2 linked regions of the Stegostoma tigrinum genome follow. The protein of the gene in region 1 interacts with the protein of each later gene in a pairwise test. Links are inferred from orthologs where the notes say so. Each region holds a gene or a part of one and is shown in the gene's direction. Other genes may lie near its edges. The genes, in order: mab21l3 and aggf1.

The links.
Region 2: the proteins of mab21l3 (region 1) and aggf1 interact in binary tests that used the Homo sapiens proteins (3 or more experiments, as listed by UniProt). The two-hybrid records come from large-scale screens. The link is inferred for Stegostoma tigrinum from reciprocal best matches to the Homo sapiens genes MAB21L3 and AGGF1.

Annotation. Positions count from the first base shown.
Region 1 is NC_081365.1:40,417,706-40,421,635, reverse strand, and holds the start of mab21l3 (protein mab-21-like 3), read left to right. Parts: upstream 1-1,159; 5' UTR 1,160-1,372; intron 1,373-3,930.
Region 2 is NC_081356.1:106,671,393-106,675,322, forward strand, and holds the start of aggf1 (angiogenic factor with G patch and FHA domains 1), read left to right. Parts: upstream 1-1,553; 5' UTR 1,554-1,662; coding exon 1,663-1,771; intron 1,772-3,930. UniProt on the Homo sapiens protein: Promotes angiogenesis and the proliferation of endothelial cells. Able to bind to endothelial cells and promote cell proliferation, suggesting that it may act in an autocrine fashion.

The DNA of each region.
Region 1 (3,930 bases):
AATTAGCAAATCTTGAAGAAGCACATCTTCAGTGTTTTCTTGGTGATGCCAATATGACAAAATAAAGCACAACTCAATGACTCATATATCCAAAGAGGAAAATAAACATCTAATACTTTTCAAACATCAATTATCCATTAATGGCATGATTTATATTAGTTGCTAGAATAAATGTCAATATAGATTGTGTCAGTTGGCTGAGGTGCCAAATAAACAACATCATTAAGCATCAACCATTCCACCCCTCTAGCCCAGAAGTGTTTTTGTGAAGTTATTTTTTTACTTCACAAGTATAGTCTGCTAAATATTTACCATCTGGTTTTGCACAACAGCTAGCACTGCCTTCTCAAAAACAACATAAACTTATTGAACTGTTTATTAAACTTATTTTCTTGCTCAGAATTTAAACAATGAATGACAGTCATGCTTAGAAAAATCACATTATCTGGGTGAACAATGTCCCAGTTTACAGAATGGATCATTGGTTGAATGTCATTCCAACCTTTTATATTGAGCAGGAAAGCCCATTGGGTAATATTTTTAATCTATGTGATACTAAATAGGGCATGGGCATAGTTCCAAATTTCTAGACAGGGTGCTGCACATCACAGCTGTCCCTCCCTGGCTCTCAATGTACAATATACTATTAGGTGTGTGAGAGACATTGACTAGCATTTGTCAATAGTACTGCAAATCGATTTATACCACTTACCAGCTGGAAGATTTCATTTTGGATCAGATTCACAGTCTGAAGCTTCTGTCAATTATTATACAATATTCGATAATAGTGTGATGTTGCATGGCATAACATTTACACTTGTGGGTTTATTGAAGATGATGTTGACAATACTCCAAAGACAAGAAATGTCCTTTTTCTGCTTTGGGCAATACAGTGAAGTAATTTCAGCTCAAAGTACTACTTTCAGAAAACAGTTTATGAGCAATCTCCTAGTAGGCTAGCTTTTAATATTCAACATATTGTGGAAAGTTCAATGAGGTGTGACGTTTCAGGTTGGGTGAAGGTTCTAACTTGCATCTAACTAGTATGGAACATGATGCCAGTAAGAAACTGCACTTACAGAACAAGGGCAAATGTTAATCTTGTTTATGGAGATTGAAGCAAGCTACCAACACTTAAATAAGTGAATAATGACAGCGCACCCTACCAGTACTAAGTTATTTGATGACTGACAGCTTCTGCTTGATGTCCAGGAGTGGAACAGATGCTGTTCTTCTCTGACTCAAAAGAGCCATTTGCTAATAGAACTAGTGGTTGGCGTCAGCTGGAAGTGTATCTGGGTCTCTGCTGACTTGAAAATCAAATCTCCTCAGGGTGTGAGGCAGTGTTACTAATAATGAATTCTCCTGAACGGTAAGAGTTTACTCATAAATTATATGGCTCAGGCATTAAATAGGGATTGCCTCTGAATTGAGAGAATTTCCCTTAGGATATTATTACCCTTTAAAACCAAAAATGTCAAAGAGGGTGAATGATTTGCTGTTTGAATAGATCATACCATTTTTCTGTTCTGCCACAAGACAAACAGTATTTTTGTATTTTTTGAATGAGGTGAAGAAGATTACGTTTTAAATACTAAATATTAGTCATTAAGCATCTCAAATCTGTTGGCGCCTCTTTAGGCAAAAATTTAAATCCTATGCCATGCTAGAAAAATTGACGAGTTGATATTTAGATTTTGTGCATTCTGTGGATGAGGTTAGGAGCAGTTATTTCCACGCAATGCCTCAACACTACATAAATGGAAATTGATTGATGCTCCTACTTTAAATATAACAGTACCTAAAACAGCCATTAGCTGTTATATCTATCCTCATTCAACTCCTAGAAATAAATAATCTGTGTGCACTCTCTTGTTACAGGAGAATTCATGGAAAAAAATTAAAGGAACTGCAAAAAAGATTTATAAGAATATATAGTGCAATATTTAAAAAGTGTGCATTCCTGGATAAGCTGTTCATCTATCTAGGAAATGTGCACATTTCTGTAAGTTTAAGCTTTTGTTTAAGATATGTTTTAATTTACAAATGGCTGAATTAAGGAAACAGTAGAATGACTTGTTTCCAAAGTAAGAAAATACGTGGCTTATATTGTTAGACTGGCAATGTATAAATGGCACAAAGTAATGAGCAAGAGGTTGATGACTAATGAGAATTTCTTAATTCGAAGACCTTGTAATTATTCAAGACACATTTCCCATAATTTAACCCATTATTTGTTTTTTTTTTAAAGATATTAAAGTTAACATTTCTGTTTGGTTGAATAATCATTGCCTGTATCAAAAATACTGCAGTGTTGCAAAAAGCCATATTTTATCCAGTGAAAAATTTCTATAAGAAAACAAATTGTTGATGCATATGTCAAGCAGTTCACCAAGAAACCAATTGCTGGAAAGATTACAGCATGTAGACAGTAGGGGGCAAGTCAGTTATGAGAACTATTTAAAAATTGTGGAAAAAAAAGTTTTGTAAAATATATCAAATTGTTGAATTCTGAATAGGAAGTCTGGAGGCTAATTTGTGTCATATAATTGTTTTGGAGTGAATATCGCATTATATGAAGAACATATTAATGCATTTATGCCAATATTATAGAACCCATGTTTAATATTCTTCAAGACAGTTTTCCATTTCTTTATTTAGGCTGGTTGACTAAACTTCTATTTAATCCTACTTCTTATGAATTAACAATAGTTCATGCTTAAAATATTTATCTATTTTTATTAACCTGTTTTAACTTCATGGGATTTATATTTTTGTTTTCATTTTACTTACAAAGAGCTTTTAATTGTGACTAGAAATAATAAAATGGTCAATGTCTTTATCCTCAGAATACTGTAGGATATTGACGGCAAAATAAAAGCTTTGTCAGGAATGAATCAATTGTCCAATAAATAAGAGGATAGCTTCTAACACACACAAACAAGGCAGTGATCAATAGATCAGTCATATCAACTTGCACCAAGTCTTCTTCACCAGTCTTCCCTGTGTTCATTGGCCTGCATGGGTCATGATGAAGCAAATAAAAACATTTGTGCTACATAGCACCTGTTATAACTACCAGAATTTCCAATATGCTTTGCAGTCCATGATGGACATTTGAATCATAGCCATTGTTACCATATAGGAAACTGGGTAGCCAAAATGAAGACTGCTATATCCTACATATAGCACAGTGATAATGACACGATAATCTTTTTTTCATTGTAGCTTTGCTTGTGAGATATCTTTTGGCCAGGATACACTGTTGTTCTTCAAAAATAATGCAATATCACCTATTACAGGAAATTGAGAGGGCCTTTGTCTAATATTTCAATCTAACGATGGCAATGCACTGAAATGTCAGCCTAGATTTTTGGACTCAGGTCTCGGACTGTTATTTGAAACCACAGTCTCTGACTCAGAGACAAAGTGTCATAGAGTGCTACCAACTGTGCCAGGTTTGACACAACAGCTCCGCAAAATTTAAAATTCCAATTCTTATTTTCATTTCCCTTCATTGTCTTACTGTTGTCTATCTCTGTAGTTTTCACCAGTCCCACAACATTGAGATGTTTGTACTCCTGTAATATGTACGTCTTGAGGATGCCCAATTTTTATTTTTTCAAAATATGTGGCAAGCCTTTGACTAAAAAGATAGTAACGCTTTCCTGCCTAAACCTCTCCAACAATCTGTCTCTCTTTCCTATTTCAAATCACTCCTTGAAATCTACCTTTTTGGCCTGGCATCTGTCTTATTATCTCCTCATGAGCTCTTGTGTTAAGTGAAAATGCCCTTGAAAATGTAGAAACATGTCTATTCACAGTGGCTTCAATTTTGGAAAAATTTGAGCAGGAGTGGGCCATTCAGCCATTGAGCCTGTTCCACTATTTGATATGATCATGGTTAATCATTGTTAATCAAACACTTCA
Region 2 (3,930 bases), on another chromosome or scaffold:
ATGATATGTGAAAGGGGCTTACAGGTGATATTGATCCTAGATCTGTTTTCTTTGCCCTCCTTAGTGGCAAAGGTGGTTAAGGAGGTTGGTGAGTTACTACAGTTCAACTTATAGATGGTGAACACCATTGCCATGCGTGGCGGTGAAGGGATTAAATGTTGAAGATGTGGGCTGGGATCCCAGTCAAGTGGTCAACATTGACCTGGATGGTGTCAAACTTCGGGGAGTTGTTGGAGCTGCACCTGTTCAGGCCAGTGGAGAGTATTCCACTACACTTCTTATTTGTCCCTTGTAGAAGGTGGATGGTATTGGGAGGCAGGAGATGATTTACCCATTGCGGAATTCATGACTTCTGACCTGACCTGTTCTTATAGAGTTATATGGAATGGAAACAGACACTTTCGTCCAACTCATTCATGCCGATCAGATAACCTAAACTGATCTAGTCCCATTTGCCAACATTTGGCCCATGTCCCTCTAAACCCTCTCTGATCGTGTTCCGATCCAGATACTTTTTAAATGTTGTAATTGTACCAGCCGCCACCACTTCCTCTAGTAGTTCATTCCAAACACGCAGCATCTTCTGCATGAAAATGTTGCCCCTCAGGACCCTTTTAAATTTTCTCCCTCCCACCTTAAACCTATGCAGTTTAGCTTTGGATTTACCTACCTTGGGAAAAGGCTATTCACCCTGTCCATGCACCTTGTGATTTTGTAAACTTCTCTAAGGTCACCTGTGAGCCTCCAGTGTTCCAGGGAAAAATGCTACAGCCTATTCAGCTTCTCCCTTTAGCTAAAATCCACCAATCCTGGCAATATCCTTGTAAATCTTTTCTGAACCCTTTCAAGTTTCACAATTTCTTTCCAATTGCAGCAAGACCAGAATTGAATGCAGTATTCTAAAAGTGGCCTAACCAATGTCATGTACAGACCAAACATGACATCCCAAGTTTTATACTCAGTGCACTGGCCAAGGAAGGCAAACGTACCAAACACCACCTTTACCACCCTGCCTGTGATTCCACTTTCAAGGAACTATGCACCTACACCCCTAGAAACACTCCCCAGGCCCCTACCAATAAGTGTATACATCCTGCCCCGATTAGCCTTTTCAGGTTGTCACACCTCACATTTATTTTAATTCAGCTCCATCTACTGCTCATTGGTCCATCTGACCAAGGTTCCATTGTACTCTGAGCTAATCTTCACTATCTGCTATGCCACCAAATTTGGTATCGTCTGTAAAGTTACTAACCATACCTCCTGTATTCACATCCAAAGTATTTAAATAAACGATGAAAAGCAGTAGGCTCAGCACCAAGATTTGTCACACACCTATGGTAACAGGCACCCAGGCCAAAAAGCCACATTTTTATGTGGCGATTCCAGTCCAGTTTCTGATCATTGGCAGCCCCCAAGATGTTAATAGTGAGGATCCAGTGGTGGTAATTTTATGAAACATCAAAGAGTAAAGTTCAGATTCTTTCTTGTTGGAGATAGTCACACAGTGGCACAGATGTTACTCAGCAGTTACAAGCCTAAGACTAGATGATGTCCACGTCTTGCTGAATGTGCTTAATATCTGACAAGTCATGAATGGTGCTGAACATTGTGCACACATCAAATGTTCCCATTTCTGATCTGATGGAGGGAAGGTAATTGATGGAGCAGGCGAAGATGTTGGGCCTAGGACGCTGCGTTGAGGAACTCCTGCAGAGAAGTTCTGGAGCTGAGATGACTGATCTCCTACAACAACAAGCATTAGTGCTTGGTATGACTAAAACAAACAGTCTTTTTTTTTGTCCCCTATAAATCACATTATCTCCAATTTTGATAGAGTTTTCTGATGTGATACTTTTTTAAATGTTGCCTTGATGTCAAGAGTAGTAGCTGTCACCTCTTGTCTGGAGTTTACTAATTTGTTCATTTTTGGACTACAGCTATAATGAATTCAGGTGCTTAGAGGCCCAGACAGAAACTAAAATGAGCAGTATTTTCTTTGCAAGTGCCTTTTGTTAGCACTGTCGATGAACCAAGGCTATTACCTAACAGTAAAGAAAATTTCTATGGTCTATATCTCAAAGCCCAAATGAACAGTTTCTATGTGAAAATGACACTCATCCTTTACAAAGCTCGTATTATAATGCCTTCACTGGGTCTTGCAAAGTCATCCATCTGATAAAGCGTTTTTATATCAGACAGGAGAATTTAACTCCTATTTTAAAAACAAAGCCACATGCTATGGAGGCAATTATATTTGATTTCTGGATTTCGTTGCAACAGTCCAGTTTTTGATGGGATCTACGTGATTGCCTCCCGCATTACGAAGATTTCTATGTTAGACTTGTATCAAAAGTACCATGTGTTTGGTGTAAGTTTGTTAATATTGATTAATTTTCTTATGCAGTGGTTTTGTCGTCACCATCATTGTACTCATTGCACAATAACAATGCAAGATACATGCAGATAGAAGAGGCTTCTCAGTACATCTCGGTTCGTCTGTCTTCTATTGTGGGCTCTAATTATTTCTTAAATTATTGTAGGATTTTAAATCCATGCCATGTCCGAGAGTATTGATCCTTTTATTCAGCAATTTTCTGATAAAAATCCACTTGTCATGTATCACACAGAATAACTTTATCAATTTTTCTGTTTCCTATCATAGAGTGATTAAAAAACAGATGGAGGGCATTTTACCAATCATGCCTACACTGTCTTTTGGTCAAGTTATCTAATTAATCTCATTCGCCCAGCCTTTTTCTTTAACCTTTTGAACACTTAACCAAGTATCTTTTGAATGTTTACATTGAAATCTGTTTTAAACTCTTAATAGCAGTGCCTTCTCTTACTGCCTTTGATTCTTTTACTAATTCCCTCAAATTTGTGTGCTTTCCACCACTTACCCGGAATTGCTCTCCTTATTTACTGTTATCAAAATTGTTCACGATTTTTGAATATCTGTCAAATCCTTCTTAGCCTATACTCTGCAGAGAATAACCCTACCCTGTACAAATGTCTCCACTTTAATTGAAGTTCTTTTTCCCGGTGCTATTTTAGTAAGTCTTTTCAGCATCATTTCTGAAACCTTTTAATTCTTCCTGAAGGATGGTGCACAGAATTTGCAAACTGCTTTAGCTTAGAGCTACCAGAATTTTATACAGTATGAATGCTTTCTTTTTGTAATTATGCTTCAAGAAATGAAACCAAAAATTTCTTAAGCTGTAACACTTCCCTACCATATTTAACAATGTTGTACAAGTTTATCTATTCGTTTACCCTCTTATAATTGTCCTATTTCTTTGCATAGGTTTATGTTCATTCTTCTTAAATTGAATCTACTCACACCTCTCTGCATTAAATTCCGTATGCCAATTTGTCCATGTCCTTCTGAAGTTTGTCACTGTGCCCTTTATTGTTTGTTTCATTTCCACATTTTGTCACTTTGTGTAATTTGAAATGCCCAAGTCCTGGTTGTTAATATACATTACAAAGCAGACGACACAAAGGTCGGAGGTGTCGTTGACAGTGTAGAGGGCTGTTGTAGGCTGCAGCAGGACATTGACAGGATGCAGAGATGGGCTGAGAGGTGGCAGATGGAGTTCAACCTGGATAAATGCGAGGTGATGCATTTTGGAAGGTCGAATTTGAAAGCTGAGTACAGGATTAAGGATAGGATTCTTGGCAGCGTGGAGGAACAGAGGGATCTTGGTGTGCAGATACATAGATCCCTTAAAATGGCCACCCAAGTGGACAGGGTTGTTAAGAAAGCATATGGTGTTTTGGCTTTCATTAACAGGGGGATTGAGTTTAAGAGTCGTGAGATCTTGTTGCAGCTCTATAAAACTTTGGTTAGACCGCACTTGGAATACTGCGTCCAGTTCTGGGCGCCCTATTATAGGAAAGATGTGGATGCTTTGGAGAGGGTTCAGA